3 linked regions of the Callithrix jacchus genome follow. The protein of the gene in region 1 interacts with the protein of each later gene in a biochemical or structural test. Links are inferred from orthologs where the notes say so. Each region holds a gene or a part of one and is shown on either strand. Other genes may lie near its edges.

Region 1 (4,078 bases):
CAAGGCAAAGAGGTGGCATGCACAGAGTTCATGTGCGCAGTGCCTGGCTGTGAGCAGAGCTATGTGGCTGGAGCAAAGTTGCTCTGAGAGGTTGGGACCCTGCTGCAGAGGGTCATTCAAGGCCAGGCTGAGAAACTGAGGATGGAATCTGCACAAGGGGAGGCCTGGCCAAGCTACCTGGGAGGAAAATGGCCGTGGAAGGGATTCAGGACTAGAAGACTCAGTAGGAACCCCGTCGGTGGGGCAGACAGTGATGAGGTGAGCACTGGGGCAGGAGCAGAGATGAGTGTGAGAAGCAAGAATCAGTAGGGCTGGGGAGCCACACACCCACAAACTCGCCAGTACTCTGTAAGCAGGTTGTCACTTTTTCTTTTTCTTTTTTTTCTTTTGAGACAGTCTCGCTCTGTCACCAGGCTGGAGTGCAGTGGTGCAATCTTGGCTCACCAAAACCTCTGCCTCCCTGGTTCAAGCAATTCTCCTGCCTCAGCCTCCAGAGTAGCTGGGACTACAGGCACGTGCCACCACGCCCAGCTAATTTTTTGTATTTTTAGTAGAGACGGGGTTTCACCATGTTGACCAGGATGGTCTCGATCTCTTGACCTAGTGATCCACCTGCCTCGGCCTCCCAAAGTGCTGGAATTACAGGCTTGAGCCACTGCGCCTGGCCCCTCCCTCCCTCCCTTCCTTTCTTCCCTTCTTCCTTCCTTCTTTTCTTTTCTTTCTTTTTCTTTCTTTCTTCTTTTTTCCTTTCTTTTTCCTTTCTCTCCATTCTCTCTCTCTTTTTTTGAGACAGAATTTTGCTCTGTCATCCAGGCTGGAGTGCAGTGTCACAATCACAGCTCACTTCAGCCTTGACCTCCTGGGCTCCGGTGATCCTCCTGCCTCACCCTCCCAAGGAGCTGAGACCACAGGTGTGTGCCACCATGCCCAGCTATTTATTATTAGTAGTAGCAGTAGTAATGAGGTCTCCCTGTGCTTCCCAGAGTGCTCTTAAACTCCTGAGCTCAAGTGATCCTCCCACCTCCCAAACTGCTATGTTGCCCAGGCTGGTTTCAAACTCCTGAGCTCCAACGATCCTCCCACCTCAGCCTCCCAAATTGGGATCACATGTGTGTGCTACCTCGGCCGGCCAGGTTTTCACTTTCACCATCCCAGGTCCAACAGAGTCTAACCTGCCCTGGCCCTGCCTCCGCTCCTCTAGGGTCCTCTGTCACTGCATCACAGGCAGACTGTCCTTTTTTTGTTTGTTCCCACGTTAGAGCTTTGTGCGCTCCATCTCCTCTGCCCAGGGATGCTTGACTCTTTTTTTTTTTTAATAAAGACGGGGTTTCACCATGTTGGTCAGGCTGGTCTTGAACTCCCGACCTCAGGTGATCCGCTTGCCCTGGCCTCCAAAGTGCTTGGATTACAGGCGTGAGCCACCACACCCGGCCTAAGGATGCTTGACTCTTGATCACCACATCATTCTTTTCTTTTTTATCTTCTTCCTTCCTTCTTTTTCTCTGTTTCCTTCCTTCCTTTCTCCCTCCCTCTCTCTCTTTCTTTCTTTCTCCACCACGCCTAACTCCTCTTCCTCCTCATCCAGGTCTCAGCTCAAATGTCACCTCCTCAGGAAGCCCTCCCTGATCCCTCCAGCTAGTAATGTCACCTGCACACCCAGTCACTTGCTAGCACATGAAGCTGGTTCATTTTCTTTTTTCGAGACAGGGTCTCACTCTGTTGCCCAGGCTGGTGTGCAGTGGTGCAATCACCACTCCCTGTGGCCTTGACCTCCTGGGCTCAAGCCTCACACCTCAGCCTCTCCATAGCTGGAACCACAGATGTGTGCCACCATACCCAGCTTATTTTTTGTATAGACAGGGTCTCACTATATTGGCCAGGCTGGTCTCAAATTCCTGGGCTCAAGCAATCCTCTCGCTTCAGCCTCCCAAAGTGCTGGGATCACAGGTGTGGACCACCATGCCCAGCCGAGGCTGTTTCATTTTCTGCATAACACTTTTGAGAATCTGCAATGATCCAATTTATTGGGTTGTTTGTTCAGTCTGTGACCTCCCATGGGAACATAAGCTCCGTGAAAGCAGGGACCATGTCTGTCTTGTTCACTCCAGTATTACCAGCATCTTAAACAGCACCCTGTGTGCAATAGATGCTCAGCACGTATCTGATGAATGAATGATGCAAGGGAAAGGGAAGTGAAAGGAACCGGAAAGAAGATGGGACCAAAGTCAGATAATGGGAAGAGCAGGGAAGTTGGCTGGGCAGGAGAGGCCTTCACGGGTGGCCTCTAACTGCTGCTATGTTTGAGGTGATGTGAACTACCCAAGGGACAGGTCCCAAGCAGGAGGCAGAAGCAGGAGCCCAGAGGCTGGAGGTAGAAATGCAATGGAGAGAAGAGATATACACTTGTCAGGGGAAAATGTTAAAGAGGGGCCAGAGGGGCATGAATGAGCCCGGGGGTCCTCACACCTTGCGGGAAGGGAAGGTTCATAGGGACAGGAAGCAGGCGCAGGGCAGGGCAGCGGCAGATCGCACTCAGGCTCACACACATGTTGCAGTGAGCATGAACAAGGCCTCCCTCCCTCCAAAACTAACAGGAGACTGGGACCCAGGTGGTGCACGAACTTACCCACGGGACAGCATCTCTCTGGAGGGATGAAGTCACGGCAGAGGGCCTCAGGGGGCGGGGCTGAGCCAGTGGCACAGCTGTGCACCGTGGCCCAAGCCAGGTGAGGACGAACCTCTCAGAAATCAGTCACTTCCTCCTCAATCCAGCCTGCCAGGCCAATGGCCCCGCAGGGACAAACCCTGGACTAATAGTCTCCAGGAAAAGGACAGGTGGGGCGGGGCTGGCCTGAGACCGCCCACAGCAGCCAGCTTCCCTGCAGCCCCAGTGCGGGAGTCCAGCAGGCCCTCCCGCCGGTCCAGGGCTGCCTTCCCTCGGGAGAGGAGGAGCCACCTGGAGCTCCACCTGGAGCTCAAGCTGACAGAGCGGCGGGAGGTTGGGTAGGGGCAAAGACCAGGAAGTAACCCTGGCTGAGGGAAGAGCAACCAATGGGGGAAATCTCTCAGTAGGCGCAAACCAAAGGGCCTAAGGAAAAGCCCTAACAGCCCAATTCCTCAGAGAAGGAGGTGCGCCCTGTGCACGCCCACCCACCCAGGGCGCTGAGGAGCCCAGTCCAACCTCTTACCCTGCCCTGGGGAAAGGGGAGGAGCCTCAGCCCTCACTGGAGCAGGGTTAGGCCCAGCCAGGAGTATAGGAAAGAGCTATTCAGGAGGATGCGGCCTGGAAAGGAAGAGAGAATCTGGGGAGGAGAGAGGGAGGTTGTCAGGTCCACAAAGACTGACACGGGGCACGGTGGCTCACACCTGTAACCCAAGGTGGGTGGATCACAAGGTCAGGAGTTCGAGACCAGCCTGGCCAAGATGTTGACACCCCGTCCCTACTAAAAATACAAAAATTAGCTGGACGCGGTGGTATGCGCCTGTAGTCCCAGCTACTCAGGAGGCTGAGGCAGGAGAATCACTTGAACCTGGGAGGCGGAGGTTGCAGTGAGCTGAGATCACGCCATTGCACTCCAGCCTGGGTGGCAGAGTGACAAGAAAACTGACAAGAAGGCTAAGTCGCAGACACATTTATTATTGACTGGAACATCAAGGCCTTTCCTCCCCTGTTAGTGGCACAAGGGAGGGCTAACTCTCAGGAAGCAGCCACGCTGCCACCAGCAGCAGGTCCATGAGGTGGCAGCGTCATGGGTGGCAGGAACAGTGCCTTCAGCTTGCCTGACAGGCTGGCAATCTCGGGATCCTGGGCTTCGTAGGATTTGACCAAGCGGGCAAACTTGAGGACACCTGCAAGAGGGAGTGGAGGGTCAATGCTTCTCCTAAGGACCAGCGTGCCTAAGACAGGTGGAGGGGGTGGTAGTCTGAGCTTGAGCTGTTCCCCCACTGGCAGGGCAGCTGTTGGCAGAACAGCACATGCAGGACTCTGCCCCATGCAGTTTGGATCAACTTCTTATTCTACGTTGGGCACAACTGGATGGGGTGCATGAATGAAGATGTCCCAAAGCAGTGCGCTTCT
Region 2 (4,112 bases), on another chromosome or scaffold:
CAGCGGGGCTATGCTTTATACACCGTGATCAGCTACTGCAGGCTCTTAGCTGTGAAGCCCTGCAAGGAGCACATGGCCTGGGCCACCTTGACAGATGGCCTCAGTGCCTTCTAAGGTGAGGCCAACACTAGTTTATGTTGATAAGCCCCTTTCTAGGTGCTGGGTTTGAAGCAAAATGTGTATTTCATTTAAGCTGTCACCCAGCTTATGAGGCAGATGCATCACAGTGATGACAGGGCTCCTGGGAGTGTGTATAAGATGGAAAATGTGCACGGCCAAAGCTATGCTTGAAGACTCTCAGGAAGGCACCACCTCAAGGACCAACATAGCATCACTTTGTGTGTGTGTGTGTGTGTGTGTGTGTGTGTGTGTGTAGCATTAGATGGAGAAGTAATTTGTGTTTAGAGGCTGACATATTGCACAAATATAGTTGCTTTTATACACTGGACTCACCCTCTGCCAATGAGTTGTTCAGTTATGAGAAATGAACAATGTCTGAAACTAAGAAAACAGCAGATTCTCACCTCCTATCTCCAGGGAATGTGCTCTTTGGCTAGAATATATGGCAGAATCAATAGTGAATAAAATACATTGTGGAAATAATTGTGAATGGAATATACGACACTATCAATAGCAATTGTTGAGTTTTTTTCTTTTTTTCTTTTTACGTTTGTCTAGTTAAATGCATCTAAGTTTTACGTGTGTATGAAGAATCACTCTGTTTTCCTATTCTACAGATATGGAAACTGAGATCCCTAGTTTTTAAGTCCTTGTCTAAGGTTGCATAGCACAGAAATAGTCACATCAGAAACTGAGCCTTGTCTGCACGGTGCAGCACTTTGCTCAGCTCTGGGTACCTGACTCACTCACTCCTTGAGGACCCTCTCATGACGACTGTAAACAGGCAGCTGAAAGAATCCCAATCTTTGATGGTGGGAGGGGAAGGTGTTTAGAAAGCATGAGAAGGCCATGCTCCAGCAGTTCACTGATGTGGGAAATTGTCTGGATTTCAGGTCAACTGTCAGGATAGATTTTGGACTGCAAAGGCCCAGCTGAGCAAGAATGCAGTGTAGACATGAGTGCCTGGAGCATTAAAGGAAAAATACTCGGACTCACATTGGAGTTTAAAACCCCTTCACTGCCTCTCCAGCTCGGTTGGGGTGAATGGAGCCAGTGGCTCTCTCTGCATCTCAAGCCTCCAGAGCTGAGCTTCCTTGTTTACTTATTTAGAGCCCAGCAGAGGAAGTGGTAAAGGAAACTAGCTGAGTCGTTTTCTGAGAAGAGACCATATTTGTTCGCAGAGGAAGCCGTTGCTTTCTGGGATCTGGCTACAGCAGAAAAGACATCAGCTCCAACAGGGGTGTTCCACAGGGTAGCTGAGAGTTGGAAGAGCCAAGAACGCCTCTGAGCACTGGATTTGAGCTTCTCTGTGCATGGGTGCAGCGCACATGCTCAGCTTGTGAGCTTCCTCCCGGGAGAGCAGCCATGGCACTGAGGAATGTGCCCTTTCGCTCAGAGGTCCTAAGCTGGGACCCTAACAGCCTTGCTGACTATTTCAAGAAGGTGAGCCTTGCTCTTGTGTGAGTGGTCATGCTGGTAGTGCCATTGGTGGGCTGAACTGAGGCTAGAAGATGGATTTGGAGCAGAATGTGGGAGGTGTATAAGATAGCAATGGCACTAACCGTATGGCAACCTTACTGGGTGAGTGAGTGCCATACAGACCGCTGAGTTTTTCTGGCAATGCGTTCTGGAGAGAAAGGTGGGCACAGGAGCCCTCAAATGAGTATGTGCCTATTATATGCTAGGGTTTGAATTCAGTGCTTCACAGGCACTGTCCCATTTAACACTCCTTACTATCTTGTGAGGTCAGTGTTGTTATCCTCTTGGTTCAGCTGCAAAATCAGCTCAGGGAAGTGAAATGGTCCAAAGCCCTAGGGACTACAGGTTATAGAGGCAAGATCCAAGTCATACCTTTCTGGTTTTAAAGTCCATTCTCTGAGACACAGAGGACTGTTGTAACTGCTAATGAGATCAAGGCTACTTACTAGAAAGAAGAGACGTGGTGTCCTGGAGGCAGGAGAAAGAACAAGCTGGGTGCAAGGGCTGGAGAGAGGACTATGATGAGCAGTGCCAGACATGGCATTTGGGCTTTCACTACTCACGACCCTGGGGGGGGTCCTCAGGCTCTCGTCTGGGGCAGAGTCTCCTTGGAGCTTTTTGAGAACCTTATGAAGCAGGCCAGAAAACTGATATGAGCCCCAATTTACAGCTATGAAAACTGAGGCCCCTAGAGGGGAAGAGGCTTGTGGCAGTGCTGGGAGCAGAGTGTTGCTGTCTTATCTTCTGGACTTGGAGGAAAGGTTGAAGGATCCCTGTGCTTGGTCATTGGCAGGTGGGGACCACACATCTGCTTAGGCAGATCTGAGGCCACATGACTTACTTAGGGTCCATCTACCCTGACCATGGGGCAAGATGCCCTGTGAGAGACATTTGAGCTTCTAACACCCCCATCCTTACAGGCCGGCATCAGATTCTGTTGATATTCCAGACTGTCACAAAGATGAGATTATAAAACTAAGGGTGTAGAAGTCATCTAATTCAACTTCCTGTTTTTCCTGGGGAAATTGAGATTCAAGGGCACATATAGCCAAACCTGGGCTCTGCACAGTTCCATGGTATTTATAGTCGCAGCTGTTCTCCTCCACCCTAAAGAAGAAAATGTGCGCATGTTGAACTAGGTGCAGCATGGTAGTGGCACAGCTCACAGATCCTGTTTTTGGCCATATTTTGTGCTTTTTGTTTCTGTTATTTTCATTCTGCAAGGTCATAATAAACTTAGGTTTCAGCAAACATCGTTGCAAAACTGGTTTTTGAAGGATGTTTCTAAATACCTTTCTCAAATATAGACCAAATAAGACAAGGCAACAAGGTATAATTTGTTAAGAGGGAATAAAGTGGCATGCTACCTCAGTAAAGGAGAAAGAAAGGAATTGAGAATTATGAAGAGAAGGACTTGGGGCAGGCTGAAAGGCACAGACAGGCCAAACTTTCAAGTGTGACCAGGAGAATTATACAATCCAGCTGAACAACGGAGAATTGATGCCTAAATTCCCGTCAGTACAGGGAGATGGTCCATTGGTCAGGAATGGTACAGGAAGATCTCTCTGGGGGAAGCGAGAGTTTTCTTCCTGGAGATCTCAGACCCCAGGACAAATCTACAGCACCCAGGCAGTTTCCTTCTTCTGGCATAAATGAACTGAGGGAAGAAACTATGAGACTGAGGCAAATCTGTGATCCTGGAAGGCCTAGTCCCTCCACAGACTTAGATAGAGCCCTTTCAGATTCTAAGAACCTCAACCCCCTGAAAGAAAATGCCAAATTAATGGACCGCAGAGTCATACGGGAATGGATCTTAGACATCAAACATGACATGTAAAGGATTGATCTGCAGATGCAAATTCTACCCAAGTAGTGGGGTCAGGCCTCCCTTGGAGACACCTCCCGACTCAGCTCTGGAGTCGGACACACCTTGGCCTGGCTCTGCAACCTGCTAGCTTGGTGACTTTCTTGTAGTTCTTTGCCTCTCTGTGCCTCAACTTCCTCATCAGTGAGATAGAGACATGAACAGTAACAACACAATGGGACGGTTGTCAGGATTAAAGGAAATGGTGTGTGCAGGGCACTCAGAAGACAGATTGGTACTAATGCATGTTCCATCTGCCCTTTTTCCTTCTCCATTCTGGCTCCTAGCTGGGGACACCCACGCAGACTGGTGGGACTTTGTGTCTTCTTGTCTCTGACATGTGTAACACATCCTGTGTCTGGAATATAAGCTCCTGAGGACTGAGACTATGTTGTATATTTGTTCAATCTCTCCAATTCCTTTTGACTTGTAGGAGAGCATTCTTGAGTCATGCAGTGGAGAGGCGCTGACTCAGAGCTGTGTGTCCTAAACCCAAATGGGATCCCAGCTGGTATCCCAGCTCTCTGTGTGAACTTAGACCAGTCTCTTTCCCTCTACAGGCCTCTGCCTTCCTAACTACAAATTCAGGTGACTTTTCTGAACAAGTGTCTGCCAAAGCTGGATGCCATAGGCTAATTATCTAGGGTGC
Region 3 (4,107 bases), on another chromosome or scaffold:
AAGAAGATGGGGAAATCATGATTAAACAAAGCCTTTAATATGCTATTGCGCCATGTGGATTTACAAAAAGAGGGCATAGCAAAATACACTTCTATAAATTATTCAACCATGAATTCTTTTTTCTTTTTCATAAAGGATCTCACAATACTAGTGTTCTGAAGAGCATTAATTATTTGTTGCTTTCTGCAGTACATAGCATCTAGAATTAAAAAAAAAACCTTTTGATTTAATTCTTTTAACTAATACATGCAGATCTCTGTTAATGTAAGCTAAAATTAATGTAAAATACCCATGCTCAAGCATAGAACTGTGCTTTGTGCATTTTGGTCCACAGTTCTAACATTTTTTTTTTGGATGAGACATTTTTGTGTTTTTCTTTTTTAAGGAAACATGCCTCAATATCAAGAATCAACCAGTAAAATTATAGATGACCTTCAGAGTAAATGTCCATGTTTTTAAAAATGACACAGAAAATATAATAAATTTGAGCACTTTGTATATCCTCTCCTGTGAACAATGGCTACATTCAATTGTTTATTCACTTCACTTTTGTCCCTCCAAGCCCTGTGTGGGAACATGCTGTACTTTCACTGGTCAAATTGGCAGACGGTGTCTCTCTTGCTGTTGCCGCATATCAGCTGTGCTTTTCTCTGTAGGTGGTGAACGGAAGGCAACTCAACAAAGGAACAAAGTGTCTATTCCTACTGCCAAATCCTGAAAGCAAGGAGCCCACACAAAAAGATAAGAATAAATGAAGCTACAATAAAATAAAATGGAGACTGCAATACTGGAAACAACTAAAATCAGTTTCAGTAGTGGGGAAATAAATAAATTGTGGTGGTTTAGTCATATAATGGAATAATCTAAAGATATTAAAGATTCTGTTTCTGAAAACCTTTCAGGATCTAGGGGAAAACTCAATATAATGTAATGAAAAAGCTGGATGCATAGCTGTGTGTAAATTATAAACATATATGTACACATATATATATGAGGAAAAATACTAAAAGAAAATTCAATCAAAAGTTTACTAGGGGCATAATTATAAAGGTTTTTTATTCTTCTCTAGTTCTATATCTTATAAATATTTTATTTAAAATGTATATTCTTATAATTAAAATCTTTTTAAAACATTTATTAGTTCCATTCTTCCATTTTTAAGTTTGGGTTACAAATATAAAAAACTAAAGCATGCAATTCTATATTAAAGGAAATGAAATCATTGGCAAAGATTTATATAAAATACTAAACTTTTCAAAAAATGCTATTAACCATAGTAAGCCTAAGTAATGTTTTAAACTACAGTTTAAACTAAATCAAAAGTGTTTAAGCACAAGTTTCTTTTTTAATCTGTCACAGAATTCTATCTCCAACACTTCAGCATAATATAATGAATACTATATTTAGTACTAGTATTATGTTTAAAACTAAATTACAAATAAAAAGAGATGATACAATATTTATAGAAGGTATGATAACCAGAAATGAGAATGAAAGCATAAATTTCCATGTAAAAAAACTCACTAAGATAAAATTATAAATGCATACAGAGAAAAAAAGGAATGTGCACATATTTATTGCTTTAAAATATTATATTATTTTACATGGCATCTGTATCTGCTTCCTGGTCATCCAGCTCCCTATACATTATCCATCTCTGATGTAATTATTACTGTTATGCTGGAATTAGCAGGCATTATCCTGTGGCTAAACTTATTTTATGTTTCAAGATAACTATTAGTGACTTTGTAATAAGTGAGTTTAAATTGATTTTTTTTAATGTGCAAAATTGACTCCATTTAAACTTCCTTTACCCAATCCTTTAGCCCCCCAAAAGATGACCAGGTACCCTAAAGAAATAAAATAGCCTGCTTTATCTTCTGAAGTATAAATGCTCCTAACTTACTTAAGAAAAAATAATCTATCTTGCCTTGCTGCCACCACTTCTCATAAGAAAACTCCTCCTAAAGAAAAAACGATTCTACCAGTTATAACAAGCTGAATTCTACATGCTCCAGTTCCTGCAAAGACAAATATTAGATTGTGAGACTTACCAGATTAGTTACACACAATTTTAGGCAGCTATTTAAAACTGTACACTCCACCATAGAAATCCATAGGCAGCCAAGAGTTGCAAAATTGGCAAGTTGCAGAATAAGCCAGTAAATGTTCTTCATCACTTCACCAATGGCGGATTTTTAGATGGCCAGTCTTCTAATTTTCTCCATTTTGCCGTATGAATTATTTGGGCTTCATCACTTCAATTGAAGGAGTAGTTGATGGATTTTCTTTTGCTTGCTTTGCTATATTAGAATATGTTAGATTTTTGAAATAATATTTAGACCTTTGAATCCTTGAAAGCTTGTAACAGTTCCAAAACAGCTGTTTCATAACAGCTTTCTTTTACTCCCATAAAGAAAGTCACCCACTGACTAAAAGTTAGTTTTTAGAAGAGCATTTCACATGGAAATTAAAGAAACGCAAATTGTATTTCAGCAAGGGTGTGAAACATGCGTAGCCTGAAACTGGAACATTTCAGTTTCATTTCAATTTCAGTGGGTCATCCACCACGTCCTCCACCTTACTTCTCTGAGTTCCTTTCAGCTCTGCAGGAATTAGGTTTTGACCACGTATGCCTTAGCAAACAGTAGCATTATTATAATAATGAATTATTGAAAAAATAAAAGCACCCAACTCAAGCAACGCAACTGAGAGGGAAAACAGAACTCTGAAGCCAAATACATGTTTTTTAATTTAAAAGCAAACAAAGCTGAAATTAATAGACAAATAACCTGGGAGTGAGTTAAAAAAAATCAAGGAAGTTCGTTAGAGCACTCTCAGAACTTCAGTACATATTAACTAAAATACTGCCTTATCAGGTCTATTGAAACAGCTGAAGCTAGTTACCAGAAACCTAAGATATGCACAAGTGTCTGCCTTGAGAAGGAAACATTATACCGGTTTTTTTTTTTTGTTTTTTTTTTTTTGTTTGTTTGAGACCGAGTCTCACTCTGTCGTCCAGGCTAGAGTTCAATGGTGCCATCCCGGCTCACTGCAACCTCCGCCTCTAAGTTCCAGCGAGTCTCCTGCCTCTGCCTCCCAAGTAGCTGTGATTACAGGCGCTTCCAACCACGCCCAGCTAATTTTGTATATGTAGTAGAGACGGGTTTTCTCCATGTTGGTCAGGCTGATCCCTCCACCTTGGCCTCCCAAAGTGCTGGGATTACAGGTGTGAGCCACTGCACTAGGCCATATTGTACAGAATTTCAATTAGTCACGCATGAAGATAAAGTTAAGCTGAAGCCTAGAACAAAGAATTTGAAATCTACAAAATATGGAAGAGAATCATTCTCAATAGCTACTTTTTAGATTGTTAATAAGTCTTAAAAGCCAGATATTTTTGTAGTGATGCCTTCTACATGGTAAGCTAAGGTGTCAAATAAACTTCCTTGTTGTCTTTTCATTTTTCTCTTTTGTTTTGTTTTGTTTTGTTTTTTTGAGTCTGAGTCACACTCTGTCGCCAGGCTGGAGTGCAGTGCCGCAATCTTGGCTCACTGCAACCTCTGCCTCCTGGGTTCAAGCAGTTCTCTTGCCTCAGCCTCCCGAGTAGCTGGGACTACAGGCGGGCACCACCACAACTAATTTTTGTATTTTTAGTAGAGACGGGATTTCACCATGTTGGCCAGGATGATCTCGATCTCTTGACCTCGTGATCTGCCCACCTCGGCCTCCCAAAGTGCTGGAATTACAGGTATGAACCATTGCGCCTGGCCAGCTTCCTTCTTTTCTTAAATAAATTGTACTAAATGTAACTTAACCTTTTCTTAATAATATAAGGTTCTCATTATGAGTAACACATACCTGAGATTTTGTTTTGAGCTGAACATATTTATCATTGGATTTTTTTTTTTATTTTTGTGGGTACGTAGTAGGTGTATAGATTTATGGGGTACAGATGTTTTGCAACAGGGATGCAATGTGAAGTGAGCACATCAAGAATTGGGTGTCCATTCCCTCAAGCACTTATCCACTGAGGTGCTAACAATCCAAGTACACCCTAAGTCATTTCAATATGTACAGTTTTGACTATACGTATTAAACTATTAT

Evidence for each region. The genes of interacting proteins can lie anywhere in the genome.
Region 2: the proteins of PTPN6 (region 1) and LCP2 form a complex in vitro, tested with the Homo sapiens proteins (2 studies listed by BioGRID). The link is inferred for Callithrix jacchus from reciprocal best matches to the Homo sapiens genes PTPN6 and LCP2.
Region 3: of the proteins of PTPN6 (region 1) and ROS1, one has a biochemical effect on the other in vitro, tested with the Homo sapiens proteins (2 studies listed by BioGRID and IntAct). The link is inferred for Callithrix jacchus from reciprocal best matches to the Homo sapiens genes PTPN6 and ROS1.

What each region holds. Positions count from the first base shown.
Region 1 is NC_133510.1:21,210,897-21,214,974, reverse strand, and holds the start of PTPN6 (tyrosine-protein phosphatase non-receptor type 6), read right to left. Parts: upstream 2,801-4,078; 5' UTR 2,641-2,800; coding exon 2,627-2,640; intron 1-2,626. Other genes in the region: C9H12orf57 (protein C10), read right to left, coding at 3,698-3,849. UniProt on the Homo sapiens protein: Tyrosine phosphatase enzyme that plays important roles in controlling immune signaling pathways and fundamental physiological processes such as hematopoiesis.
Region 2 is NC_133503.1:62,542,421-62,546,532, reverse strand, and holds the start of LCP2 (lymphocyte cytosolic protein 2), read left to right. Parts: upstream 1-1,312; 5' UTR 1,313-1,485; coding exon 1,486-1,563; intron 1,564-4,112. UniProt on the Homo sapiens protein: Adapter protein primarily involved in signaling pathways within T-cells, as well as other immune cells such as platelets, mast cells, and natural killer (NK) cells.
Region 3 is NC_133505.1:123,720,113-123,724,219, forward strand, and holds the start of ROS1 (proto-oncogene tyrosine-protein kinase ROS), read right to left. Parts: upstream 2,801-4,107; 5' UTR 2,178-2,800; coding exon 2,055-2,177; intron 1-2,054. UniProt on the Homo sapiens protein: Receptor tyrosine kinase (RTK) that plays a role in epithelial cell differentiation and regionalization of the proximal epididymal epithelium. NELL2 is an endogenous ligand for ROS1.